Daphnia pulex: one gene and its partners. The protein of the gene in region 7 binds, or shares a complex with, the protein of the main gene of each other region. Links are inferred from orthologs where the notes say so. Each region holds a gene or a part of one and is shown on either strand. Other genes may lie near its edges. The genes, in order: PCI domain-containing protein 2-like, nuclear pore complex protein Nup160-like, nuclear pore complex protein Nup214-like, nuclear pore complex protein Nup153-like, nuclear pore complex protein Nup85-like, nuclear pore complex protein Nup107-like and nuclear pore complex protein Nup205-like.

Region 1 (3,889 bases), on a different chromosome or scaffold from region 7:
ACACTGCAACGGCAGTCTCCTACTGTTTCAACGTAGATCAGAGGTGAGTATTTATTTTTGTTCTCTCCCCATGTACTTGATCCGGTTTAATGAGTTTCTTCCGGTCACCTTTATTGGTTTGTAGGGGAAAACAGGTATTCGTTTGTCTAGCTACGGCATCACCGGCGAAATTCCCCGAGGCCTGTGAAGCGGCAGGATTGGACAAGTCGACACACCATAGAGTGGAGAGATTAAAAATGGATACCGAAATTTGTACACCCCGACACGTCTTCCTAAAGGGCCACGATTGGACAAGTCAATTAAAAGATATCATCCTTAAGATTTAGGGGGAAAAAACCGTTGAATATCGTCACAAACAAATTTGAATATTTACCTGAGATTCACTCAGTTTTGGTGTAGAATAGCGTAGTCAGGTGAAACCTAACACAAATATGTAAGACTTTGAAACAAGAAAACAGCTAAAACTATTACTTAATACAAAAATAGGAAGCAAGAAACAATTCGTTCAATAAGAAATTTATTATTTTGTTTCAATTAGTCGCGAAAACAGGTGTGTGTAAGAGATATTAGATCCAACTTATACGATAGCAGCCAGCGATGGGAACGCATTCTGCTTGCTGATTACCAGCTTGTTGTGGCTGTTGGAAATGTACCCTTTGATTTTGTTCTCAAAGATGAGGTTTGCAATGATACCTGCGTTATAAAAAGAAATGGATCAAATTCTATAAAAGCCACATTAATTTATGTAACACTATACATTGCGTCTCGTCCAAGTCTATGTCTTCAACTCCCATGAATTTTAAGGCCTCAAGATAGGCTTCGATCGGGATTTGATGAGTTTTCATGAGCAAAGTTCTGAAAATTATAAATTCAAAAGAAATCATGTCGGCTCATCTTTCAACACCAACAATAAAATCCCTTACACTTTCTTAAACAAGTTTCTGTAGGTGGTGACTTTTAACTTTTCAAGAATCAAATAAACACCGCAGCGAATGAAAAAGGCATCGTGTTGAAGAAGGGCATTGTTGAGTCTCCGGAGATTACCCTCCCTAACAGCTTGCACCACTTCGCTAAACTGTAGAAGGTCATACTTTCTCAGCAATTGGGTTGTAGGAAGATGACCCTTTAAATGAAATGTAATACGTTAAGCATCTTCCTTCCGTTTTCCATCGCATTATGTGTACACAACAAATGAAAGTCATACCAAAAGCATTTTGACGGGAATCAGGTAGATTAAAATCAGTCGTTTGTTGGCGCGGCAGTTCTTGTGACACCGCTCAAACGCGTAGGATAAATATTTCTCAGCTAAATGCGAAATTAAATATAAGAATTGATTATCTTTTAGAAATTTATGTTACTCTGCTCACCGCTTTTGAAATCACTTTCGAAAATGGCCTTTCTGCCGACATAGTATCGGTAAGTCACTTGTTGGCTGAGGGAGAACTGGTCCTTGAACTGGGAGGCATCAATTGCGCGAATAAGAGCCTTACAAAGATGCAATTTGTTTATTCTAAAGTAGATTTTCAACAGCTGGTTGACCAAATACAGCATTCCCCAGCGTTTTGTATCTTCATCAGATGACCGACTGTAAATTCAAACAAAAGAATGAGTACCTAGTTACTACATAAGTCGCAAAATGTTATTTCTTACTTGTCAGCAGCACACACTCTAAAAAGTCCCATGAGGCACTCTGCAGCCTTTTCAAGTGTTTGTCCTGGTTTGTCTGCTCCTTTTTTGGCCAATTCTTTGTCTGCTTTGATTGCAAACATACGCAAATCTAAACTTATGACATACATGATGAATAAAGCCCAGTTGTCTTCCTTCTGTGTCTGAAAGAGCTTTGTAAACGCCTGTACCAAAGCACTTTGCTCAGAGTATGCTTCTAAATACTTTTGCTGGTTGATATAGCTTAAGCATCTAGATGGTAAAATTGAAAGTTGAAACCAAAATTTAAAATTGATGAAAGTTCAACTGTATACCTGAGATGAAGGACAACAATCTCATCAAAAGGAGCTTCCACGATTCTTTCAACAGACTTTTCAAATCCCTCCAAAATAAGTTTGGAGCTCATAACATGTGGGTGATTGAATGACAGGAGTTCCTAAAGGTTTCAAAATAAGAAGACGTGAAGTATTGCATGAGCATGATTTTACAAGAAATTTAATTTTGAATTTCTTACTGAAACTTCAGTTCCACTTCGAGATTGCCATGAAGATTGAATCTAAAATAGTTTAAATAAAAACAATCAACTAAAGATGTGTAAACAATGCATTCTGTTTGTGACGCGCTGTGTTACCTCACGTAAATATTGATTCAAATTCAAGTTAGCCATTTTTTTAGTGTCTTAGAAATGATTTTTCGAGACTAACTTAAAACTGGACATCGGTGGCTTACAGAAATCTAATTTTGGCGAAACACAATTGGATATTATTTGACAGAAAATTTCAATAATCACGCCGACCGGTCGCTTTCGAATTGTTCCTCAGCTCTTCGTCTGCTAGAAACTCTTACGTCATCTAGCGGTAACAAGTTGAATTACATATTTACAATTTCAAATTTTACGCCGCGCTTGTTATCAAAGTTTTTCGATCTCGAAAGGGAGGAAAAACCACAAAGTAAAATAAGAATTATATTATTTTACGACTGAACATGCCGCAACATAAACATAAATAGAATGAGTTGAGAAAGAACTGGTTCCATATCATGCATATCCAACAACTGAGATAATGCATGTGATTTAATCCAACAAAACAATTGACGCAGGACTGTACTGTATAAATGTATAAAACATTGAGTCGGGATTCCAATAACATATAAATTGCACAGAGGAGTTCCAAGTAAAAAAAAAAAAAACAAGGATCAACTACCTCCTGGACAGACTAATTAAAAAGCGTGGCGCCAGTCTAAGATGATTTCATACCTCACTAAGAAGTATGAAGAGAGAGAGTGAACAAACATGTCAAAATGGCTTAAAACTCTTGAGTACATAGATTAGCCGCTCAGCGGGCAGTCCACACACACTGCAGTGTGTGTGTATATAGGCGGGTTTACGCTAAACCCTGTAAAAAAAGATACAGCAGCATCAGCAGCGAATGGTCAATAATAATCAGCTCTACTTTAAGAGTGGACCGAACCACTCGTGTTTCCATTCTCTCCCCCCTCTTTTTCTACTTCCGATCTATTCTTATTTCGGCCTCCCCTGACTACTAGTTTTTCTTTTGTATCATTCGCTTTTAGTCGACAACGAGCCCCAGTGGCCCTATTTTGACAGTCAATTAAATATAGTGCATCACGTGTGCAAATAGTAGGAGGGAAACTTCGTTTCCATACGTTCGCACACGGATTTTCAAAGGTCCAATTTAAATATTTCCCTTCTAGATTTTCGGCTGGATAATTTCCGTATTGCTCCAACATGACTATTCCCGAAAGTGATTCAATTCGACAACGCTCATCTCAAGGTAAATACATTTTCTTTAACACATTTTTCAATGACATGTACATTTTTCTTTGTGACATTCAGACGATACGAATAAAAATCGTACAGAATCTTTATCAAAAGACGATCATGGACATAGTAGTTCGACCAACAGTATTAATGACAGTAGCTTAACCGATGCCGTGTCAAACATTAAAGATGAACTGCAAATGAATCGACGGGTAAGTTTCCTTTGTTCTGTTTTAACAAGTATAATAAAGTTATCTCAGTGGCAAATAATCATAGTACAGCATGCACCCGAGTGGTGACAGACGCATGTAAACAGATAAAAGAAACAACGTTTCGTCTCATTGGTTACATCCAAAAAGACCCTAAAAGATGCTATTTATTATCTAAATATTTATCAAGGCGAGGATAGGCCAAAGATAACGCAACGTTTCTTTCCGTTGTCAT
Region 2 (2,822 bases), on a different chromosome or scaffold from region 7:
CCCCTCCGCTATACGGGACATACGGACAAGGTCTTCCGGGTCGAGACACTTCCAGGTCGCCATACTTAATCGCCTACTTTCTCAAGGGAACAGTTAGGTTAACCATTAACCGTTAGAATCTCACAGATTTTAAAAATCACATTAGTCAAACTACTTTTGCATTTGATAAAATGTCTATGATATTGTCATTAATTTTGAATTCATCTTTTATAGAAATTAATAAGAGGCTACGCTAATAATGATTCAAACCAACAATTTCTTTTTAAAATCAGGTGAAATATTTGATTAATTGATTAAATGACTGAGGACTAACCATACAAAACTGGATGTAAAAAAAATGACGTTGTTCAACTTACAATTTGAGTGAAATAACAAAATCTGTCCAATTCTTTTGCGTCAGCGTCATGGTCGAGGAAACAAACAAATGTTTGTTTGCTGACAACCTTCCGCAAAATATTTACAAGGAAAATTACTGTTAATTTTTTTTCATTCTTTCCAAGTCGAGGAAATCTCAGTATTTATTACACAGTTGAAATGGTAATACAAAATTCAGGGTTTTATTAATAAAAAAAGAAAGAAAGCTAAGACATGGATAACTCGACAAAAGAGCGACTAACACGTTCAGCTGTTTGGAAGTAAGCGTGCAATTTGCCTTTCATGTCATTCAGTAACTGAAAGTCAAAACATAAAAATGAATTAACATTCAATAAATAATAGGTAGAAGAAAAAAATAAACAAACAAGCATTTACCGATTTATAGGTAGAATCATTACAGTTGGCTTCCAATTCCATGATTAAACGATCGAAAACTGTGTAAGGCATCCATACAGGAGGTGCGTTGATCTGGAGCGGGTTGCTGTCGAATCCAAAGTACTCCTTCCCTTTTCCCAGCATCGCATCCATCAATTCTAGAGCTACCTATTAAAAGTCAGGCAAAGAATCCGTTAAATCTATATTTATTTAAAATAATTCCAATAAAAACTATAAATACCTGAGCTGCATCTTCTAAAAGCCCTGCTTGATGATAGATGCTGATAAGTTCTCCTGGATTCCTCAATTTGTAGCTGGCGGCCAACCAATAAGGCAAGGTGCAATCTAAACCGAGGATTTTTTTGGCCGCTGCACGATGACAGCGGGTTTGCTTGTCCCCTCCTTCTGCTTTTGGTAGGATCCTCTCTAATAACCGCCAGGCTTGCTCTGAAGCCTTGCCTACTCCAGACGATTGATTCAGAGACAACCAAATCCAGGCTTCATCCTCGTTGGCCCGTTCTCTCGATAGGGCCACGCAATTGGCGGCCAAGTGTTCCACGACCGGAGACGTATCTTAAGTCACACAAGCAGAAAAACATGCTTAATGTACTTCTGACAAGGTAATAACAATAATAAAAAATACCTTTGACGTCAAAGATCCTGGCAATGCGCAGTGCCGATTCGTAGCGGTTGCGTGAAGTCAAAAGCGCTACCACGTCCGAAGGAGAAAGAGATGTGATTGACTGTCCAAGATTGATACAAGCGTAGCTGAGTTCATATTCTTTTTCAATATCAGCATACTCGATGACGTCAACCGTATGTCTAAACGGTTCTGATGAATCCTTACGATTCAACGTAGTTACTGGTTTAACCAACCAGGCTTCCTGTCTAGAGACTAGGCGCAGGGCGTTGAGACAAGCCAAAAGACATTTGACCATTTTGGCTGACTCTCCTTCACATCCATATCGAAGTGCCTTTAATGAAACAAATTACATCAGTAACGGTGATCCAAGGCCTAAAGTGGTTGATAGTACACATTACCTGTTCGTGCATCACAGCGGCAGCTTTGCGCATTTTACCCTGGCGGACGTGAAATGCATAGAGAAAGGAGTAATAAAGCGTCATAGATAGAACATCTGATGAGCGAGCCCTTCTCTCCACAATTTTTTCCAATTCTGATTCCAATCCGGCGTAAGGGAAAGTTAAAAGAATATCCATCTGCTTGCGTTCCAGCAAAATATTGACCAGACGTCCAAGAGTTTCAGGTCGCTGACTGCTATCCGGATTATTTACGATGGCTTCGTATGCTTCCTATTAGCAGTGAATGGATACGTAAGGGCGTGAAATCTGATAAAATGCGTTTGATTTATTACCTGATAGTGGCCCAAGTTCAAATGAAGCTTGGCAACAATCGACCATATTGTAGGCAAAAGGGGGTCGTCCGTTTTACTACTGTTTAGGGCTACAAGAGCCACACGAAGAGCAGCACTGCATAGTCCCGCCTGCTCTAACAATTGGACGCATATGAGATGAAAGCGCATCACCGGATCAGCACGACTTCCAGCGTCACCACTTTCATTCGCTCCCTTTGTGACAATCGAGTGAAGAAGTTGTTCTTTGATGATTCCTTCAGCAGCTTCAAGCATCCACTTACTGGCTTTATCTCCTTCACCGGTAGCCACAAGTGCGACAGCCATCAGAAATTTTCGAGAGCACGTATTCCATTCACACCTGGGCGGAATTTGCATTTAAAAAAATCAATAAACGCATCTAATATTGAAGTACAATATTTACAAACCAGTTCTGTTGCAGGCGGACGTATCCCTGTACGGCCAAGGGTTGGAAGCGTTCCATCAGAAATTCCATGAAAGTCATGTGATTTCCAATGGGCCAAAGCAGCTGGCCAATGGCTTTCATAAAGTGTGGGAAAACATCTAACCAAGAGGACGTCCATTCAGCAGCATCTTCTTCCTGCAGGACCATTTCTCGTACAGCTTGACCTCCATCCAAGGATAGGAAGAGTTCAACCAAGCTCTTGCACGGCAAAGTCGCTATGGAATTGTTTAATCAGT
Region 3 (3,998 bases), on a different chromosome or scaffold from region 7:
TTCTCCTCTTATACTTGACGACAAAAGAGAATCAGCCAGAACAGCCAGTTCAGACTCCCATTTTCTTGACTCATCACCACTCTTTGGTCTACAGAACACACAATTAATTCAATAATTAAGTGAATTTATGAATGGCAAATACCTTAAAGCTTCGAAGGCTGCACCGGCGAGTTTCAGTTGCTGTTCTTTGCTCTGAACCATAATTCGTTCAACACGAGATTTTAACTGTGATATTACTTTCGTATTGTTTCTAATTGCTTCATAAATAACCTGAGATGAAATAAATCATAGGATGCTGAATATTTTAGAGTAATAATAATAATAAAACAAGCTTACCTGAGTTATTGGGATTTCAATTTTGCGGGTGTCTCTAGTACGGTCTCTGCTAATCGAATCTAGGCTTCGTGAAGCTTCTATAAGCTGCTGTTCTATGTGAACGTGCAAGCGCTCAATGCCGTCCATTTTTCTGCGATTGCCTGGATCTAGAGGCCGTAACTTGAGCAAATGACAGAAATGAGAATTTTTGCGACGAGCACGTCGAACACGGGCATCTTCCAAAAGGGCGGCAACTTCTACCAAATCAGTGCACAAGCCTCGAACTTCTTCGTCTTGCACTTTGGTAGTATCGACCAGATCCACACCAAACTCAGCCAGATCGGATGTCATCTTTAACAATCGTTCTTTCTCCTCATCACTCGCGATCGTAACTTTCAAAGTCAACGAACGAGCTTTGAATTCCTTCAAGTCTTGAACGAATTTGGCCACTTCGTCACGTAATATTGCAGCGGCAGCGCCCATGGATGAATGGATGTTAGATTCATCTGCGATTGGAGTTTGACTTGTAAGTTTGACAGTAAGTGGAGTAGCTTTCGGGACAACCGGAACCGCTTCTATCTTCACAGCTGGTACAACAGGTGCAGTTGCAACTTTCGTCACTGAAGGTAAGGCAGGTTGAAGTTGGGGTTTGTTGCCCAAAAACGAGTCCGAAATAGGCGGATTTGAAGGTAATTTCGTTGTAACTGGGACTGCTAAGGAAGGAGCATCCGCAAATGCAGCAAATCGTTCTCCAAGATTTGTTCTAGGAAATGCAATTTTACCAGCAGCAGGTAATGGAGTGGAAGCTGCTAATGGAGCCGCCTTGAGACCAATTCCACTAAGCGCTGGTCTCTCACCAGTGACCGACAATTCTTGAGGAGCCTGATTGAATTTGGCAGCACCGTTCTTTAGATTGATAACATGAAACGGGCAAAGCAGACCATGAGTGCTGAGTATGAAAAGAATGGGTGCGGGCGGTAAAGTTTGATTGTCATCCCAACTGATTGGAATTTGGCTAGTGGTATCGATGGCCATTCCCAACGGGTTAGTCTCAGCATTCTCATTTAATGGTAGTTCAGCTCGCCATTCACCTTCTAGTGCCCATTGCCTCCATTCAGGGTGATCAGCATCTCCAGCTCCTGTTTGAGCTAGTACGGCAACTTCTATTGCGTTAGCTGAACAAGCCAATAACACATTCCATGGGGATAAACTCAATGTTAGATAACTAAAAAAGAAACAAAATTCATTATATTGATAATAAAATGAAAAAAATTCGTATACCTGTGTGGTCTTTCAGACGGACTTCCGTAGCAAACATCGTCATAATCTATGAAAGTTGTTGCCCCCGATTTTTGTACGTTGACTATGTAGAGGTGGGGACGAGAATTGGGTTCATTTTGATCAACAAACGTTACAAGGAACTGAGTTGTAGAAAGCCACTGAAGTCCACAAACCATTGGCTGAGTCATATGGACATCGCTACCACTAAACGCTATAGTCTTGGCTTCCTTTAAATCAGGCTTATACTGAACTAGTTTACTAGGCCTGGCCACAACTAGCTGTTTTCCTTTGGGACTCCAACAGACTGACCTAATAATTCAATAAAATTAAGAAAATAACATACATACAAAATAGGATATTCACATACTGGGCTCCTGTACTTGATGGAAGGCTATTTATAGTGAATTGAGTGTTGTTGATCTCCACTGCAACTAAAGAGCCATCACTAAGACAGACAGCTACTAGAGTTGGTATAACAGGGTTCCACGCACAATCTTTCACAGTAACTCCATCAGTAGACGAAAGCCTGACTTCCTGGAAGGGATTCCATTCACCTGACTGAAAAAGATTTTAAATCTGTTTCAATCACACAAAATGAAATTCCTTAAATCATACCTGTCTTGCAAATCCACGAACATCATACATCCAACCTACTGAGCATCCAGATTTTTGAAGGCACACCATTAAGGTAAGATTATCAGAGCTCAGTGTTACAAAACTAGGTTTGTTGGGTAAAAGAATTTCCTTGATGGGAAATGATGATATTTCTGATTTTTTTGATGTTGTATTGTCAATTTGTATAAGATCTGAAACTTTGATGACAACAAGTTTGTCAGGTGTCCCAACAAAGATCAGACCAAACAAATTAGAAGTAGCCAGCAATGATGTGGTGTCCTGTACATCATATTCCTTTTTAGTGACTCTAAACTTACACAGCTGTTTCATTTTGAAGTCCTGTTGTTACAAGTTAGATTGGTTGAATTGAAAGAAAACAATAAAAAAATGTATTTTAAAATTACCAAGACTTCAACAGGATCAGGAACGTTTGCCATTATCAGTTTCAATAATCAATGTAATATTCGGATAGAAAATCACACCGCACTTTCAACCTTATTTTGTTGCAAAGCCAAAGCCGGTCGAAATTTTATGAAATGTCTAACTGTTTGAGTGCCTCACTGCCTGTCTGCTTGTGACAAGTGAACGCCATCTATCAAAGCAATTTGAATTTTTTTAAATTGTAATAACTCGCGGTTCTTTTTTTTGAAAGGGTAGGGGCTGAGGGGTAGTGTTTCCAATTCTGATCACTTTTGGGGCTATAGTGGAGTTAAGATATTCAAAAGGGAAGGCTTACGTGATACGTCAACCAAATTGCAAGATACAATATTTTCATCAACTTGGTTCATTGAAAACCCTGTTCAAAACGATTAAACAATAAACATTCGATCAAACGAATCATATTCGAGGAATAAATTTACAAATAGGGACTATATAATATACGATAAATCTGATCGTGGTGCACGGTCTCTTTATACGGCAAATAGTCTCTCTTTGAACTAATTAACAAACAAAATTAACTTAACTTAACTTCTAAATAACTTAACATCTATAAGTAAGATAAACTGGCACCTTATCTATTAGGCTACACATTCTGGTCGGTCTGCTCAAATCTGGCTCGATTGGACATTATTATTTTTCAAGAGATTCAATTGGATGATAATTCATGTAACCTTAGTCTAGCATAATTAGACAAAGAATATCCAACTAGGACAAACTTTAGATCCGACTCACTTCCTCATCCCAACCTGTGTGTAGTTCATTCATCTCGATCCCTTTTCTTTATCAGTCCGCAAAAGATGGAATTATTTTTTTTTAAATTTTCTATTCAAATAAACAATTATTGGTTTAATTTGATCAGATTCAGAAACAGCGACACAGCGACGCCATACGGCCGTAGCGCATAAATTCATTTTTAAGCGACGCAGGGAGAAAAAAGATTACTGCTAGTAAACTCTGACTAATCGTTTATTTAAAACTTTTATTTCTTTATTTGTATCAATTATAGCAAGAAGCCAGGATATGATATTTACTTGGTAGTTCGGATAAGCCGGAGATATGGATGCGGGCTTGTATGCAGAGGTTTGTATGAGGAGTACGAAAGGATAGGCTGGGCTAGGGTAGGAAGCTGGTTTGTATGCAGCTTGTTTCTCCGTCGTGCCATCCAAAAATATTTCCTTGTAATAATGATTGTCAGAAGTGGGATTTGAACCCACGCCTTCTATCGAAGACCAGAATTCCTATTTACCAAGTTTTAGTTTGGCAAGCACCTGCTTGAGTCTGGCGCCTTAGACCGCTCGGCCATCCTGACATATGTTTTATGATTGATTGGCTATATATATTACCTT
Region 4 (4,052 bases), on a different chromosome or scaffold from region 7:
ACACAGAACATTCCCATTGAGCGGCGGTCATTTTAAATTGATCACCGAATCCTTTTGTTGGAGGCGCAACAGGAGCAGCAGCAGCAGCAGGAGCAATAGGCATTGCTTTTACTGCATTGGGGGCTGGAGATTCGCATGCCACACACGAAGATTTGTCCTTGGAATTGGGAACGCAACAGACAGAACATGTCCAAGAATCGGTAGGTGCCTTGAATTTATCTCCAAATCCTGAAAGAACCGGTGGTGACTTAATAACTGGCTCCAAAACGGGCACAGCTTCTTGACTTTTCCCTCTGAGAACATCAAGGACACTTCCAGATTTCAATTCCACTTCTGCGGGTTTAGTTGGAGTCTCCTTCTCTGGTGTTTTTTTCGGAGAAGCGTTGACGAGCAATGGGGAGCTGAAGTTGAAACTGAGCGGCTTCGAACTGACGGCTGCATCTACCTTGTACGGACTGACGGTAACCAACGGTGCTGAAAACGTGAAAGCTGGACGAGGTGTTGAGGTACTCGTCATTGAAGAACTAACCAATCCATTGGAACTCATTACTGCTGCTGTTTTCACTGAAGTCTTCGTCGATACAACAGTTGCTTTTTCTACCACCGAGCAAGGAGGTAGCAAGTTGAAACTAGGTAGACCTGCTATACTAATGGGCATTGGCACAGCAGTGAGCTCCTCCGACTCTACATCTTCATCCTCTCGAATACGAGGAGCCGATTTGCGAAGTGGTGCTGACATCCTCATTCGCATCTTGCCACCAACCTGGGCACTGATGGGGGTGCTCGATACTAGTGCTGGTTCTATTTGAGACAAGTTTGCTGGAGCTGGTCGGGTGACAATCTGTGCCGGAGTACCGACAGATAATTTGGAAGTTGGAGGTCCCAAATTTGGACGTCGGCGACTCAAACCAAACCCTTTAAACACAAAGCGAAATTATTATAACGTTAAGCAATTCATAACTTTTATCAATTTACCAGTGAACGAAAGTTCTTCGCCTTGTAAAGAAGTGGATCGTTTACTGTTGGATGCAGCAGGAATCCTTTTTGCATCTCTCACTGGTGTTGACATGGCTTCGAGTGCTTGAAGGATTCGTTGCGCTGAACTACTAAGTACAACATTTGACGAACTGGTAGAAGCAACAGAACTCGAAGTGGATGGAGCTGAAGACGCAGGCCTAGCCTGAATTCGACTTCGCACGTATGGGAATAGTGCAGCTGAAGGTTGTAAAGTGGCACGGCGATAAGCTGAAGCACCACCGTAAGTCGTCTTACCAGCATAAAATGGTGAGTCTACAACACTCTCGTTCATTAAAGACCGCCTAGCCTCCTGTTGGAAGTAATAAAAGAATAGAGTCCAGACTTTGTTAGTAAATTAAATTCAAGACTTACAGCAGCCGTAGGTCCAAATGAAGTTATATTGAAGCGTGGTCTCTTGCTTCCATACGATGAAAGTTGAGGTTGGGAAAGGTCTCGCTTGGCAGCTGAACGATTGAGTGAAGTGTCGTCTTTGTCGAAAAATGAGCCACTAGCCTCTTCTACAAATCAAAAACAATACATTAGACTCATTTGTAAGCAAAATTCTTGACTACAAAATGATGAAAATGTCATTAGAAATCTACCTGTATCCTTGTGGAACCTTGATTCTTCTGTGGGAGTTATACCTGAACTTGTATCATGACCAAAAGTATGAAGGCTGAGAGTTTTGCGTCCACGGCTATTTTTTAGGTCAACTGCTAGGGACTTGCTCAAAGAGCTTCCAATGATTTGCAGTGAAGATTGATTAATAGAGAGAGGTTCAGCAACTCCCAAACTTGATAGTTCTATATTTCTGCTCTCCCTCTTATGCTCGAGATGTGGTAACAATGAGGAACATCCGCTAGTTGACTCTGAGTTGGAGTCATCATCACCTGTCAGAGGAAATGAGATGTGAGATGTCATAAAAGTTTGAAAATCAGTGTTTAATACAAACCATTTGTTTGAACGATTTGTTCTCTTGAACTTGATTCAACCACTACTGGCTCTGGAAGTAAGTCCAAAGAAGGGACATTTGGACGAGCTCTTACTGCAAGTCAAACAAAAAAAGAAGCATGTGTTACACAGTTTGAAGGGAGCAGAACATTGATGAAAAAAACTTACTGTTGCTTTGTTCTTTGGATGTCCCAGGTGGTCTGCGAAATATGAAGGACTCTCTTTCAACACCTTCTCGGTGGGAGCTGTTACCATTGCTGGATGAACTGGTTGACGGCACAGGTTGTTCTTCCTCAACTTCATCATTTTCACTATCTTCTTTTTTAGCTGATGTAGATTGTAACCAATTCACCAGCCAAGAAGGTTGTGGTAACAATCCAGTAACTGAATCTGTTACTCGCCTCAAAATCGACTGATAGACAAAAAGCCGGATATAGTTGGGGTTTCACAAACTCACACAAACGTATTTTAGTCTTACCTTGGGCCTTTCGTATGGTTTTGAATTTTTGCTCCGCCTTGCCTTGACTTTACCTAAATTATCTTCCCACATGACTGTTTTAGAAATTATCAATCAATACGGAAATCAGATACTGTTGCAAGAAAACAGCTTTAACCCGTCGCACCACGACCCACACGCGGCGAGGAAAAAAGTGCCGAGAAAAGATGGCGGATTTTTTTTAAGTTTAGAAAGATCTGATTGGCGGTTACGAGAAACAAATGAAGAACGATGTTGCTCAAAGAACTTATAAATTTATCAGTAGAGGGCGTTTGTGACGGGCTATAGTTTGGCTCCAGCGGAACCCTTCTCGACCATTCTCGATGAATCAACCGATCGAACTAAAAGAAATTGCCTAATTCGCATGCGGTAACCCCCTCCCCCCATGCATGAAATTAATTTTCATTTTGGCTAGCGCTGTTACATAAAACAGCCACTAGTAATGTGTGCTGCAAATATAGGTATCACGCTGCGCCATGTAAAAAAAAACGCAAGTTCTTTAATGCAGTAGTGCAGTATTACGTAAAAGTATGATCAGTATGATTGCATAATCTTAGAACTTGCACCCATTTTTTTCTGATTTTCGTTCTTTTAGTCAACGGTACAGATTATTCATTTTCAAAATTCTTTTTTTTTCTTCCACACATGATAAAGAGTCAGCAAGAGATAAGCTCCTGATTTTATTTGAAAATAAATACAAATAACCGTTAAATGAAAAATAATGAAATAAAAAGCTGAACCGTGTACAATGTAGAAGGGGGAAAAAAAGAGTGAAAGACAAAGAAAAATAGTTTTGACTGCAAACCCACAAATGAATAACAAAAGAAAAATCGTGATAGCGTGCTTGAATATTAAGTTAAATGACACAAAAACTAAATTAAATAGATATGAGACAATCTCATTTCAAATCTCAACATATCAAACAGGGCATTATAGGAAAAACAAAATTATTGGGGTCCTGTGCTTCGTTGATCTGCGTTTTCTTTGTTGGGACCAACGGTGTCATCTTGAGACCCTTCAGAAAGCAATTTCATCATATTGGAAGCAGCCTGTGCAAAGAATTAACAAAAAGAACATCAATTAAATAATTAACTTAAGCTGATTGCCAAAATATAGTCAAGTTATGATTACGTTATCATGGGCTTCTTCCAAAGTGGCACCAAGTCCGTGCGACACTTGCGGAGGATTTGTATTCAAGGTCACAAGGCTAACGAAATCTCCTTTCTTGCCCTAATAATATTACATTAATTCCAACAGTAAATTAAAATTAGTTTTTAAAATGTTTATTACCTTTGGAAAATCGGAAAACTCGACCTCGTATTCCAGTACTTGGGCCAAGTACCTTAGACGTATTTCCGGGCGCAACCCTCCAGAAGTCTAAAGATTAAGTAATAAATATATGATTTTAAGAAGTGTTGGCAGAGGCATAAGAAAAACATGCCTTGGGCGGACGAGACGATTGAGTAGTTTCTTTAATTCCAGTGGCATTCGATGAATCGGTTATGAATGGAGAGTCAATTTTCCTACTCTGTCCGCCTCCTAATAAAAGAAGACCCGGAACCATTTGACGACCTGTGCAATTGCTGTT
Region 5 (4,144 bases), on a different chromosome or scaffold from region 7:
TGAAATTAAAAAAAGAAACTGTGCTATACAGTCCTTATCAAGTCCAGTCATAAAAAAAACAAAAAAAAACAAAACATTTAATTTGGTACACGAACGACAGCCAGAAAATTTGTTGGAAAACTATTTAAAGAAGAAACACAATATGGATGTATTCAAATTTCCCTCTTAAAGTGGATTAATACCACGCAGTAAATTCGAAGTGGAAAAGACAATTTCATCCCATTAATCACAAACAGTTTGTTGTACAAAACATTTCGCCAAATTTCGACTTAATGCTAAAGTTATTAACATTGTTTTATCAGAATTGAGTTGGCAGTTTGGATGGGGGTTGATTTCAGCATCATCTTGAAACGAAGACGTCAACTCCTGTAGACTTTGCATTAATTCGTAAGTTTGTTCTGAAGTGAAAACTGGCGGATTTGTTTCTAATAATGGTAGTGCGTCCATGAGCAAAACGGTCCAAAAGCTGAAAACGAAATTTCAATAATTATTAGGCAGCTGCAATTATGATAACATGGTTAGTGGTTAGGCTACTTACTATTTCGGTGCAATCCGTGATGAGATTAAAGAGATCAAAAGGCCAGCTGCTGAATGAAAATCGTTTGAATTGTAAAGACGATGAAACTCGCGATATTTCCCAAGGAAAGCCAATCGATCGCTGGCAAGAAGTCCAGCACCCAGTGAGTCTAGCAAGTCCGTCGAAGTAAAATCTGAATCTTGAAGGTAACTCTTCAGAACAGCATCGGCGGCATAGGTAGCAAGAGGAGCGTCTTGCGCCTTAACAGCCCAAGCGACTGCCGCACCAAGTCGTCCATTGGCCAAGGCCCGTCGACCCATTACACGACAGACGGAAGTTACCACTGATGTTAGTTTTCTTCGCTCGGCAAGTGAAATTATTTTGGTTGCCTTCATTTCCGACTGGCACGGAAGTCGAGTGAGCAAGTGTTCCAGAGTCGCAGAACCAACATTAGGGCAATGGTCAAGATAGAGAACACCAACCGACCACAAGGATTGGTGGCTAAATAAGCAAATCGAGTAGTCACGAAGCAAAGTTTCTCTCAGCTGTAGTGAGTTAATGTCTTCGAACGACTGAAGTGCTCCGGCGTGATACAATAAATCAGCGAGATGTGCCGTAAACCAAGAATTATCCAATACTCCTTGCATTTCTCCAATCACCTGTGACAACAAATTTGAACAGATATAAAACGTTTCCAGTTAATTATGTTGGTAGTGTCTTGATACTTGCATGAACTCTTATCAAACTTGCTTAAAACTCTTATCCATTGATAACAGCGATACTCACTTTACGCGTGTCGCGACGAAGAACGGCCAAAAGTGTTGCATCTAGTGACGTCAAATCATCTAATCCGATTAAGGAAGCAAAAAACTGTTCGGCTTCATCTCCCAAAGATAACGTTCCAATTGTGGGTTGCGTGAACGTTAACTGAGTAATCATTCGTTGATACCAAGTTTCGAAATGATCGCCAACTTTTTCAAATGCTTCTTCTTTGCCACATAGTATCTTTATCGTAAGTAAATAGAAAGTTTATGTAAGTTAGACAAAAGACATACAACATAAACTAATGAAAATAAAAATGGGAATTAAGAGATCATTATATATAAAACATTATATACCTCCATTAGAAGTTCTAAATCTTTTGATTCGAAGAAATCTCCAGCTTGAGTGCGAGCCTCACATTCTTCTTTCCAATGATTCCATCTGAAGGTAAACTCTGGAGCAGAAACAGTTGAGTTGGCCTAAATAGAACAGAAATACTTAGGAGATAGAAAAATTGTTAATCTATCTAAATTACAAGAACTTTCTTACACTAAAGACTGGCATTTTCTTCAGCAACTCATATGCACTCTGAAAAGCTTCACTCTGGAAATCAGGATGAATTCTTAACAGTTTGGTAGCACTTTCTAAGCGTAACTGAAACACTAGTCCATAGAGAGCTTTCCAATAGCTTTCATGGAGTCCAGGATTTGGTGATGCTAAAACTGTACCAGTTTCTTCTACTGCATTTGGAAAATGAATACGAATCCATTCTAATAGGTGTGGCAGAATTCCAAGTGGGTTCTCAAGATACAGAATTTCACACAAATTCCACACCAACTCAGCTTTGTAAAATATTTCACTCATTTCTTGAAGTGCTTGATTAGATTCAACACTGTTAGCAAGATCTGCTGCTTGGTTCAAATCTTCAATGCATGCATTCATTATACAACGATACTGATGACTGGATTTAATTAACTCAGATGAGCTGATTTGGCCATCTGTGCCAGCCTTAATTTGTAAAGAAGTAAATGCTCCACAGGATTCATTGACCAGCTTGCGAACAAAAGGATTGTACAAGGTTCGCTCCCAAGAAATTGTATAAAGCTTCTTCTTACAAGTCTGGGGACTAACTGGACCTGTCATTGAGAAAAACTTAGTAGGAGTTTTTTGGCTAACTTCCAGAAAGAACTTACCAGAGGTGATCGACTTGGAAAATTCTGTTGGAAATACAGCCAAGCTGTTACCATAACCCCAAGAATGCCCAACATCTTTGTTGTATGCAAATAGAGGATCTTGTATTCCCTAAAACAAAGAAAGTTTGGTTACAAATATGTATACCATGAACAATTCGAAATTATTATTACAATAGGTTCAAGCATTCTGTAAAATGCGTGAAAATCACGTCACAAATCGTAATTGTGTGTAGGATTCAGAAGGATTTCAACTAACAGTCAGAACTCGTAACGAGTACTTTTTTGAAATATTTCTAATCTGTCGTCTGCTGCTTCGGTTTTACACCATACTGCAATGGCCATGGTTACGGCGGTAACTATGACCTGTGCTGCCGAATGTCGATAGCGGAAATTTCAATTTTCGTGGCTGCTTGTTTGTTGACAAAATATCATAGTCTACTTGATCTTATTAGGTGATGTTATATTGCTGTTTCATTAATACTTTCAAGTTGTTTATCGCTTTTCACCTGAAGAATTTATTTGATCCATATTAAAATATCCGTTTCAACAAAGTTTTTGCTATGAACATTGCCGTTTGTTCAGTAAGACAGTTTTGTTCGTCTTCAACATGCTTTAAAAAAGTGCCCGATCGGCTAAAGGGCCGCAGTAAAAGTTCTCAAGAATGGCTAACTCGGCAAATGAATGACGAGTATGTTCTTAAAGCCAAAATGGAAAATTATAGGTAGTAATTTTCAAATAAAAATTATGATTTCAATATTTTCAATTAACAGGCTATAGCTTCAGTTTAATTGTTGTCTAATATTTACTACTTCTTATTAACCAAGAAAGAGCTAGAAGTGCCTTTAAATTGATTGAAATTGATGACAAACACAAATTCCTTAAACCTGGAGATGTGGTTGTAGAATGTGGCGCTGCACCTGGTGCTTGGACACAAGTATGTGTAAAACGAATTAATGCAACAGGAAAAGGTAGATTGAATTGTTTAACTATTTAGCCTAATTAAAATGACACTAGAATGTTTATGGATTTCATGCAGTGTCTTCTCAGCTTAAAGGAAAGCATGTAGCAGTTGATCTTCAACCAATGTAAAAGGGCTGCAAAGTTTTGGTACCCTTAGTTCACTAACATTATTCAATTTTATTCTTTCAGGTACCCAATTGAAGGAGCTGTAATCTTGGCTCCATTAGATTTCACAAAAAGTTTGTCCCAGACCAGAATAACAGAAATACTTGGTGGGCAACTTGCTAATGCAGTCCTAAGTGATATGGTAGGGCTGATTTTATTTCAGTTTTTTTTTACCTTAAATTATTTCAATTAATATTTGCTAATTAAATTTAGGCTCCTGCAGCATCGGGTATACGAGATTTGGATCAAGATAGGATATTAGAATTAGCATATTCAGTGCTGCGTTACGCGCAACAAATCTCTATGGACGGAGCTACGCTATTGATAAAATTATGGGCAGGAGGAAGAATCAAACAACTGGAGAATGAGATTGCATTACACTATTCTCAAGTCAAAGTTGTGAAACCACCTAGTAGTAGACAGGATTCAGCTGAAATGTTTATACTAGCTAGTAATTTCAAGAAAAATACATAGTAATTATTTAACTACTTACTTTGCTTTATTCACATTGAAGTCTACTGAAATTTTGCTTCATCCATGTATTCAA
Region 6 (4,140 bases), on a different chromosome or scaffold from region 7:
TCTATTTGACGAAATTTTATTACAACCTACTCTACTTAGGCGTGGAATTAATAGATGAATACCTCTGAAATTGGTTCTTCTTCTGCATTAACCCATAATATGGTGGCTCCTCCTTTGACTTTTTTTTTCCTTGATTCAGGATCTTTTCTTGTAGATTCATGAAGTTTGGAAATTAAAATGAAGTGTGTAAAGTCAAAAGGCTTTCCAGATTTTTTTGCTTCATCAATCTCCTTACTATTAACAAAATTTTACATTTAAACTTGGGATATAATTCAAATTAAGTCTTGTATACCATAGATTTTCCAGTAGGGGAACAGAAACTTGAGGTGGTATGTTTATGAACCTTTCATTGAATATAAGTCCTATCTGGTTAGATGGATCATCAAACAATCCACTCAGTTTCTTCTGTGTTTTTTCCAACAGGTACTTTTTTACTTCTTTAATACATTCCACATCCTAGGAAAAGTAAATAACAAAAAAAATTGGGTTAATTGTAATTTGTGTAACACAAATTCAAAATTTTATCTCACCTTGTGATGTGTCAAGTTAATTACAGAAGTAATTCCAAAAACTTCATCAAGAGAATTTCCTTCATCATCACTATCAGGTTCATCATTATCCACACATTGCTGAAGAAGTAGATATCTTTAGTAAAGTACACAAATTACATCTTCACAAGATTTTATTACCTGTAATATACTTCCAATGTAGTTTTGCTGAATGATGAGTTCCGTCAGACCACTTAAATTAATATGAGCCTTTAGGAAAAGCTGATGCATTAGACTCTTGATACCGTGAAAATCTTCAGCGATTGGTGATTGACCTTCAAAGTCGACTTGAATCTCTCGGTCGTTCTCTCCAAGTTGCTCATCTTCACCCATTTCTTCATCTTGAGAATCATTTTCTTCTTCTTCTTCCTCTGAAGAATCGCTGCTATCTTCTTCCATAGGCCGTTTAGTATTGAAATTCGCCATGATTTTTAAAGACAATTTTTCACACGTGTCAAAAAGTCAAAAACAAACTTAAGTTTGTCTGCTAGGAAGGGGTAGGAAGGAAGTGAAGTGAACATTCAAATTGTTTGAAATAAAATCTTAAAAATTGAGTTAAAAAATAGAATAAAATTGTATTAAATATTATAACAATTATAAAAATCAAATCATTACTATTTCAATTTCAATTAATTATAATTATTTTAATGAATAAAACTTTGAACGTGAATTGCAACGCCCTTTTACTTAGTCTGCTACGTTACAATAAAACGAAAAACGGAAAACTTCAAACCTTCAAACTTCTTCTTTATAAGACAGTGAATTTTATTGTATCTTTTTAAAATAAGCACAATGGAGTTTCAATCTCCAATTATTGCCGGTTCTAACTCAACTGTTACTGGCAAACTAAATCTTCCTGGTCGAAGAATAAAGCACTCACTCGAAAAGACATCAGACATGTTGGGGGCCAGTTGCCTCCCTTCTCCTAACCGACATAATACAATGTCTTTTATGTCTGATGATCTTAGCCACACTATTTTCGAAAGTGATCCTACATTTACGAGAATTGGTGCTGGTTTACAAAGGAAAAATCTGGATTCGACAAGAGCAGACTTAACAGTGAGCAATGTATCACGAAAGAAACGAAATGAAGAACTCATGAGCATCCTTCTAGAAGAAGAAGTTCCAGGAGTAGAAAATGTCTTAGAACTATTTGAGAGATTCCTCAAAACATTTCAGTCATATGGGGCAGAACATCAAGTGTTTAATCAGTGTGCAGAATATGAGTCAGAATGTGGAGAACAAGTATCTGCTTTGCGAAAATTGATTCAAATGGCCCCTCGTGGACACAACAAACTATCACAAGCACAAGAATTGGAGCAAGAACTGAGACTTGAGCGTGACACATGGAGATTGGTTGCATCTCTCTACCAAGATCGTTTAAACTCTGAATTTCATGACAGTGAAATGGAGTCTGATGAAATCTGGAGTGGATTGGATGATGTTACAAGTGAAGATGACTTGGTAAAACAACTCTATGACAAAAATGCCATAATCAGACAGGCTCAGCTCGTAGTCGATTGGCTGGAACAACGAGCGGCTGATGTCTATCACGATTCCCATTACAGCCAGGTATTTTTTAATGTAATTAAAATTTTCTTTTATTAAATAATATATTATACTCTAATTAGGTGGAGTTTTACGGAGATGCGGTTGCCGGCTGGGAAAATACTCTTCATTCTTTGGTCAGTAAAAAACGAGGGCTTAGTACAGATAACGTCGAGCAAAATATGGTTACTCAAATGGATCCCGATGCTCCTAACCGAGAACAAAACAGACGTCTTCACCCACTTGACAAAGAAGATGAAATGCGTTTGCTTCGTTCTGTATTTGCTCGACTCCGTTGTGGACAGCTGGATGAAGCCCAGCAGCTCTGTTTCCGAGCAGGTCAACCATTTCGGGCTGCAATTTTGGAAGGATGGAAACTGTTTCATGATCCCAACATGAAATCTCGCACGGATGTAGCCAACACGAAAGGTAATTTCCAGATTTGTAGAAACCAATGGATTCGATAAAAATATTTATCTCAACTGTAGAGTCGCCATCTGGAAATCCTTATCGTGACATATGGAAGACGATGACTTGGAAAGAGTGCGAAAATGTGCAGTTGTCGGAGGAAGAGCGCGCAATCTTTGCTCTTCTTTGTGGACATTTGAAAGCCCTTTTACCTGCCTGTCGTTCCTGGGAAGATCAACTGTGGGCTCATCTGCGTGCCATGATCGACCACTGTGTCGAGAAGGAACTTCGTCGCTGTGTCAATTATAAACGGCAACTTCAAATTCTACCAGACGAATATTGGAATCAACAGTTGACCGTCGAGTCCATTTTCTCAACTTTAGCTGCCTCCAGAGATAAGACTTTGATCGCCCAAGGCCGTGACCAATATAGGTGACTAATTCTTTAATTTGTCTAATGCGAAATTTACCAAAGCAAATTTTGAAATGCAGGATCATACAGCGCTACCTTATTATGGATGATGTTGACGGATTACTTGAAGAAATGTCGTCTTGGCTGAAACAAGGTGACAGCTGGAGCGTTCACCTACGCCCTCACATGATCCGGCTAATGTCCCATCTTGCTCTGTTCTTCCGGCGCATCGGTCGTGGCTCATGTGACGATTCCATCGGATCCATCCTGGAAGCTTACGTTCTACAACTTGTCAATCTTGGACGAACTGATTTGGCGGCTGTCTATGTTGGACAATTGCCTTTGCCAGAAGATCAAATTCGCCTGTATGCTCAATGCCTCGTTATGGTAGAGGAACAGGAAGAATCCTGTGACGACGAGGAGCGAAGGCGCCTCCTATCTTTGGCCCAGGATGTCGGACTTGATGTCAACGCTATCGCCAAACAAGTTGTAATCAAACTTTGCGACCAGGGCGGAATGGTCCAACACGTCACTGATGCTTCTCTACAGGTGATTAATATAGATTTCGATCTGCATTCGTGCATAGCGTACTCATAATTGTTTAATACTTTTAGGTAGCGACCACGGCAGAAGATGAACGCCGGATACGTTCACTGAGCTGGTTGTTAATGGATCCGTCAATGCGAAGTCAATTGCTTATCCAAGCCAACACTCTCATGCGGGGATACCTTCTCCGTCGTCAGATTGAAGCTGTGAAGCTGACGTTCCAGTTGACTCCACCCGACACAGTCGCCATATTGACCGAACTATGGGAATCACGAACTGGATTGACGGATTTGCCCACTGAAGTCGAGGCTGCTGTCCGTGAATACCTTTGCATCCAGACTTACATTGATGCACTAGACGCCTTTCAAGAATGGTTCACACGTTTCCATCACTCCAAGCCCAAGAAAACAGAAGCTACCGTTCAACAACAGCGAGGAGGAGCCAGTTCTCAACTATCATTCACTGAAAACTTACTCAAAGAACAGCATCTTAAGCAACATCAAGTTGAAATTCAACGCTGGCAGGCAGCCGTCGATTCCCTCACGCAATCAGCTATTGACAAACTGTATAACGTCCTACTTTTTCCTGACGGAGGCTGGATGGTTGATAGCATGTCCTTCGAGGAGGAAAATTCTCCCCGACAACAGCAACAACAGTTGTTGCGACAAACTTGCATCCC
Region 7 (4,274 bases):
CCATCACACATGCATGTAAAATCTTTACGGGGCACACACAAGCGGCAAAGAGGTGTTTTTCTGTGGATCACGAACGACATTTTTTTTTCAGGATCTCAAATCAGTCTAGAAAGTAGACTCCACAACGACGAGTTATGGAGAGCATCAAAGATTGGATGTGTTTTTTGACCTTATAAAGATATACATATGGTGAAAGCGTCTAGGAGGCAACGACTGGCGATAAACAAAACCACCGTTCTTCGAATTTGAGGAAATAAAAACTTGGGAGGTTTTGAAATAAAAAAAATTAAAATGCTCAATCCTACGATTTCCTCCCCTCCCTTATATCTTTTTCTCTCTTCGCAGTGCGATTGACGATTGGATTTCATTTCTTTATTTTGAGCCCCAATATGCGAATCCTGTAAATAAATGTAACAAGGAAAACATACCCAAATAGGTGGACACCACCGTTCCTAAACGTCCGTCTCCTCACTTCAACCTACCCAACTCTTATGATTATTGTGTTTCTTTTTTTTTTTTTTGAATTTTTTGCCACAATCAAACCGTCAACAGTTCTTTTTTGTGTGTGCGTGAATGCGTGTCATTGAAAGGAAAAAAACCTCTATTCTCGCCCTGATCTTCCTTCATATTTTCCTCATTTACCTTGTTTGAACACTGAAAATTTTTTAAAAAGTAAAAATTATCTTATAAGAAAAATTCTGCTAGAATCGACTTTGTATGTGTGAGTGAGTGTGAGTGTTCGTCTATGGCAACTTGTGGCACAGCGCATCGTGTCTTCGTAAGTGTGCGTCTGTATTATCAAGTCAGTTGGATGACATTAGTGTAATTTGTACAGGTGAAAACAACAAAAAAAAAACAAATTCTCAGTGCTATTATTCTATTTTGTATCGAGATGACGCGTTGGACTCGGTCTCCCAAATTGGGCGTCATTAAATTCTGAAAAAAAAGCGATGTCATCTTTATAATGTTTTCTCGAGCGAAACTGAACTTTTCCCGTATTTCCTTCTGCTCCAACTCCACCACCACTCCTCCACAACAAAAAAAAGCAGCTGAGAGCATTGCTTTTTTGTATAATGATAAAAGGGAACAACTTTTTTGTGCTTGTCGATTAATTATTATTTTTCATTTTCGTGTGTGGTCGGTCTTTTTTTTCAATCTTTTTTCTTGTGCGTGTTATACGTGACTGTTGTGGACAAGATAATGTGTACAGGATAATTTGCAGTTCATTTGTAAATATTACTTGTTACTCTTTTGATTACAAACCGTCTGATCATTCTTAAAATAAGCTGATTCGTTTTTACTTTATTTTTCAAATATCCACACCCTATTTTGAGAAAACAATAAATCCATGGACGAATATTGAATAGATAGATAAATGGGTTTTTGGCGGTAATCGTGTTTCAATTTCAACGCAATTGTTTCAATTTTCTTACTGGCGGGAATTTACTTTGAATAGATGGCGCTGTGATGGTAGGTGGCGTTGGCATCATCTACCGACTACCGGTACGAAAAATTATCACACGACAATTCCCCACAGACGAATTCGAAGTCCAAGTTTCGAATACGTTCAGCTTTTGCCCTTGTGGTTATTAGGTTTTTTTAGTGAAATAAGCTTTACTTTTGGTTGAACTGTCACAAGTTTTAAAATCAAAAGATGTGGACCAAGTCTAAGGACCTCCACAGTCTGGTTGAAGACACAATTAATAACCAGCAATGCAACAGCCTAGACAATCTGGAGAAAGCATTGAAAAATCACCGTTCAGATTTCTCTGCCCTTCTTAAACAGCCGGTAATTTCATGAATCAGATTAAATCTGTGTTCTAAGCTCAAGTCAAATTCATTTTCAGGCAAAAAATCTCGATGACAGAAACCTTCTCCTAAAATCTGTCAAAGAACCTGTTCTTTTCCCTGGAAGAAAGACGACTGCTTCACTTGAACAATCGTTTGTGGATGAAGCACTCATTATCTCTGATATGTTTAATCTAAACGAAAATGTTGCTGTTGAACTTTTACACACAGCAGAACAGCAAATGCATTACTATCCAGAATTAACCAGGGGTTTGATTTCAGTACTGCTGTACTATGATGCTAGACGTGCCATTGTCAATTCATTAAAAATTCTCATCCAAGCAAGGAAAGGAATTTCATGGGCTGTAGACACCAGCGAACAAGTTGTTGACTTAATAACAGAGTACACCGTTAAATTGGTGAAAAAAGGTTTGGTAGATCAAATCATAGCCCTGTTAAGTCAACTGAACCTTGAAAAGGAAATCAATTTGCTCCACGAAAACCGAGCTCTCGGTGGACCAAAACACAGAAGGTTTGTTTACAATTAAGATTAATATTTCTTTCTTTTAATTTTTTGTGTTTTTTATTTTAGACAAGTTCATGATTTCTTCACTGAAATAAGGCAGTCGTTAGCGGACATTGTATTTTGTTTGGCTGCTCAAAATGGACTGTGTAGGGACGATACACTGCTGCTAGTGAATTACCTTTCATCTGTCGAACAAGTCGATAACGTCAACGTCACTCTTTTCATGGCTCTTTTGTATGCTATTGATATCAGCGGTATCGTTAGAACTGAAGAAAGTGAAGACGTCGTCCGGTTGTTACCCATCACTTCGGAAAGTGCATTTGTTGCGACTATTCAAAAGCGTCTGACAGAACCACTTCCTTGGAAGAACATTGGCCTTCAAGCTTCAGTTCAACTTGCCTGGGCAGTGACTTTGGCTACTTTCCGTTCGCTTTCATCTGGACTTTGCGCTCCAATTCAAATGCAGGTTGACGAAGACGAAGCCATCCTAGACGTCGCGTTAGAGGGAAAAGCTTTGAATTTTCTCAGTCATCTACTACAAACCAAAAATCATATCTACAAAGAGGAGTTTTACTTACGGCGATTACATTCACTTGTGACGGATCTAATTGTTCAAATGCCCCTGAAAATCAAAGATCTTCGTAATAAGGCCGATGAAGTTGCACGTAACATCTTTGTCTATCAGCAAGAGGGCCTTGAGCCACCTTCAAACCTGCCGCTGGATTTTCAATGGTTGCTTAACTTTATCGCCGTTCTGTACGGAGAGGATCCTCTAGAGCTGGAACTGTGTCTTGAATTTTGGTCTAGTGACATGGCCAATGCTGGAGTAAACTACAGGTATATGGTTATTGTTTATTTTGAAATAAAAATAAAAACTTATCGCCTTTTTAATGCAGAGTCTCTCAGCGACAAATGGCCCTATATAAGTTTATTCGTTTGGCCGGGGATTTGCTACCGCCTTCTCTCTACATTTCTTATGCCAGCATGCTTTGCGGATTGGCAAATGGAAAGAGGGCAGCTCACCAAGCCTTTACCCTTCTGAAACAAAACAGCAACGGCGGTCAAAGCAATTTGATCTCTTGGGAACACTTTTTCTCATCACTCCACAGATATTTTAACAGTTTGCGCCAAGAGTCGCTCCCTGTACCGGACACCATCTACCGCCACAAGCCCCTCACAAAAGGCATTACACCACAGGAGGTTCAGGGATTGCAGGTCGTTTTGAAGTTAATGCGAATCGTTCTCCAACATGACCCTGTTGCCAGGATATCTTTGGCCGAGAATCCAACATGGATACCATTAGTCGTGATGATCGGACTCTTAGGTAAGTAAAAGCAAATAGCTATCGAATGAACCCGAAAAATACATCTTCTAAATTGTAGGCTGTGCTGTGCCATTGAGTTTGAAGGGAGAGATCATGGAGGTTCTTGCAGCTTTCGCCCAGTCACCTGACATCGCATATACACTGTGGAACAGCATTGAAATAGCTCAGATTTTGTCAACTACAAGCATAGTTTCAACAAATGTCAAAGGTTTGTGCATGAAGATAATTCTATATTAATTTCCTGCCCAGTAAAAAACAAAAAAAGGGTTGAATATTAGGTCTCCACACGGAATTGGAAGATGTTGAGTCTCGAGCTGAAGAATACCCCCTCACAAGAGCCTTTCTTAAATTACTGGACGTGATGACTGATATATCCATCCCAACCAACTTGGGAACTGGACATAGAACGCCTGGATTTGATCCCTACTTATTCTACGTTAAAGATTCCGTTTTCCTGAAATTTAGTGGTAGGGCGTACCGCAATGAAACGGAAAAATGGCAGGTTTGTTCGTTTAGGTTTAAAAAGTTGTAAAACAAAGTCTTAACATTGACTTCGTTTTGTAGATTGGAAATGCCTGTGTAAAGCTATTTTTAAAATTGCTCTCGAATTACGAACCCAGTGTGGATGATTTTCAG

Evidence for each region.
Region 1: nuclear pore complex protein Nup205-like (region 7) and PCI domain-containing protein 2-like share a complex: the UniProt entries of both Drosophila melanogaster proteins name them as parts of the nuclear pore complex. The link is inferred for Daphnia pulex from reciprocal best matches to the Drosophila melanogaster genes Nup205 and PCID2.
Region 2: nuclear pore complex protein Nup205-like (region 7) and nuclear pore complex protein Nup160-like share a complex: the UniProt entries of both Drosophila melanogaster proteins name them as parts of the nuclear pore complex. The link is inferred for Daphnia pulex from reciprocal best matches to the Drosophila melanogaster genes Nup205 and Nup160.
Region 3: nuclear pore complex protein Nup205-like (region 7) and nuclear pore complex protein Nup214-like share a complex: the UniProt entries of both Drosophila melanogaster proteins name them as parts of the nuclear pore complex. The link is inferred for Daphnia pulex from reciprocal best matches to the Drosophila melanogaster genes Nup205 and Nup214.
Region 4: nuclear pore complex protein Nup205-like (region 7) and nuclear pore complex protein Nup153-like share a complex: the UniProt entries of both Drosophila melanogaster proteins name them as parts of the nuclear pore complex. The link is inferred for Daphnia pulex from reciprocal best matches to the Drosophila melanogaster genes Nup205 and Nup153.
Region 5: nuclear pore complex protein Nup205-like (region 7) and nuclear pore complex protein Nup85-like share a complex: the UniProt entries of both Drosophila melanogaster proteins name them as parts of the nuclear pore complex. The link is inferred for Daphnia pulex from reciprocal best matches to the Drosophila melanogaster genes Nup205 and Nup75.
Region 6: nuclear pore complex protein Nup205-like (region 7) and nuclear pore complex protein Nup107-like share a complex: the UniProt entries of both Drosophila melanogaster proteins name them as parts of the nuclear pore complex. The link is inferred for Daphnia pulex from reciprocal best matches to the Drosophila melanogaster genes Nup205 and Nup107.

Annotation. Positions count from the first base shown.
Region 1 is NC_060025.1:7,985,669-7,989,557, reverse strand, and holds PCI domain-containing protein 2-like, read right to left. Parts: upstream 2,507-3,889; 5' UTR 2,333-2,506; coding exon 2,297-2,332; intron 2,222-2,296; coding exon 2,180-2,221; intron 2,102-2,179; coding exon 1,980-2,101; intron 1,918-1,979; coding exon 1,651-1,917; intron 1,586-1,650; coding exon 1,368-1,585; intron 1,306-1,367; coding exon 1,205-1,305; intron 1,124-1,204; coding exon 924-1,123; intron 856-923; coding exon 758-855; intron 694-757; coding exon 578-693; 3' UTR 501-577; downstream 1-500. Other genes in the region: threonine synthase-like 2, read left to right, coding at 1-43, 125-326; b(0,+)-type amino acid transporter 1-like, read left to right, coding at 3,413-3,458, 3,521-3,657. UniProt on the Drosophila melanogaster protein: Required for the export of nuclear mRNAs and involved in mRNA trafficking in the cytoplasm.
Region 2 is NC_060017.1:6,357,211-6,360,032, forward strand, and holds the end of nuclear pore complex protein Nup160-like, read right to left. Parts: intron 2,802-2,822; coding exon 2,549-2,801; intron 2,482-2,548; coding exon 2,124-2,481; intron 2,062-2,123; coding exon 1,792-2,061; intron 1,725-1,791; coding exon 1,394-1,724; intron 1,324-1,393; coding exon 992-1,323; intron 919-991; coding exon 751-918; intron 672-750; coding exon 582-671; 3' UTR 501-581; downstream 1-500. UniProt on the Drosophila melanogaster protein: Functions as a component of the nuclear pore complex (NPC). Involved in poly(A)+ RNA transport. Required for nuclear import of Mad. May play a role in double strand break DNA repair. Essential for nephrocyte development.
Region 3 is NC_060027.1:5,448,498-5,452,495, forward strand, and holds the start of nuclear pore complex protein Nup214-like, read right to left. Parts: upstream 2,801-3,998; 5' UTR 2,649-2,800; coding exon 2,616-2,648; intron 2,551-2,615; coding exon 2,212-2,550; intron 2,155-2,211; coding exon 1,964-2,154; intron 1,906-1,963; coding exon 1,597-1,905; intron 1,541-1,596; coding exon 337-1,540; intron 271-336; coding exon 143-270; intron 89-142; coding exon 1-88. UniProt on the Drosophila melanogaster protein: Part of the nuclear pore complex. Serves as a docking site in the receptor-mediated import of substrates across the nuclear pore complex including emb, RanGAP and phosphorylated Mad. Protects mbo/Nup88 from proteasomal degradation at the nuclear pore.
Region 4 is NC_060021.1:252,442-256,493, forward strand, and holds the start of nuclear pore complex protein Nup153-like, read right to left. Parts: upstream 2,801-4,052; 5' UTR 2,519-2,800; coding exon 2,447-2,518; intron 2,381-2,446; coding exon 2,137-2,380; intron 2,066-2,136; coding exon 1,970-2,065; intron 1,908-1,969; coding exon 1,620-1,907; intron 1,536-1,619; coding exon 1,390-1,535; intron 1,328-1,389; coding exon 976-1,327; intron 916-975; coding exon 1-915. Other genes in the region: double-stranded RNA-binding protein Staufen homolog, read right to left, coding at 3,412-3,513, 3,596-3,694, 3,755-3,841, 3,906-4,052. UniProt on the Drosophila melanogaster protein: Component of the nuclear pore complex (NPC), a complex required for the trafficking across the nuclear envelope. Functions as a scaffolding element in the nuclear phase of the NPC.
Region 5 is NC_060023.1:4,665,836-4,669,979, reverse strand, and holds nuclear pore complex protein Nup85-like, read right to left. Parts: upstream 2,801-4,144; 5' UTR 2,659-2,800; coding exon 2,644-2,658; intron 2,582-2,643; coding exon 2,473-2,581; intron 2,416-2,472; coding exon 1,829-2,415; intron 1,759-1,828; coding exon 1,636-1,758; intron 1,523-1,635; coding exon 1,304-1,522; intron 1,177-1,303; coding exon 539-1,176; intron 467-538; coding exon 223-466; 3' UTR 124-222; downstream 1-123. Other genes in the region: rRNA methyltransferase 2, mitochondrial-like, read left to right, coding at 3,033-3,193, 3,301-3,440, 3,509-3,557, 3,622-3,739, 3,811-4,071. UniProt on the Drosophila melanogaster protein: Component of the nuclear pore complex (NPC) that seems to be required for NPC assembly and maintenance. Required for nuclear import of phosphorylated Mad via importin msk.
Region 6 is NC_060019.1:10,133,856-10,137,995, reverse strand, and holds the start of nuclear pore complex protein Nup107-like, read left to right. Parts: upstream 1-1,340; coding exon 1,341-2,120; intron 2,121-2,179; coding exon 2,180-2,525; intron 2,526-2,584; coding exon 2,585-2,936; intron 2,937-2,995; coding exon 2,996-3,464; intron 3,465-3,529; coding exon 3,530-4,140. Other genes in the region: protein BCCIP homolog, read right to left, coding at 1-1, 63-234, 293-456, 531-629, 690-974. UniProt on the Drosophila melanogaster protein: Plays a role in nuclear pore complex (NPC) assembly and maintenance. Required for nuclear import of Mad. Mediates the association between the nuclear pore complex and a subset of active chromatin regions adjacent to lamin-associated domains.
Region 7 is NC_060022.1:5,063,116-5,067,389, reverse strand, and holds the start of nuclear pore complex protein Nup205-like, read left to right. Parts: upstream 1-1,474; 5' UTR 1,475-1,654; coding exon 1,655-1,789; intron 1,790-1,847; coding exon 1,848-2,320; intron 2,321-2,380; coding exon 2,381-3,151; intron 3,152-3,210; coding exon 3,211-3,638; intron 3,639-3,696; coding exon 3,697-3,846; intron 3,847-3,916; coding exon 3,917-4,140; intron 4,141-4,202; coding exon 4,203-4,274. UniProt on the Drosophila melanogaster protein: Plays a role in the nuclear pore complex (NPC) assembly and maintenance, but with limited role in NPC permeability. Required for specific nuclear import pathways such as Mad import.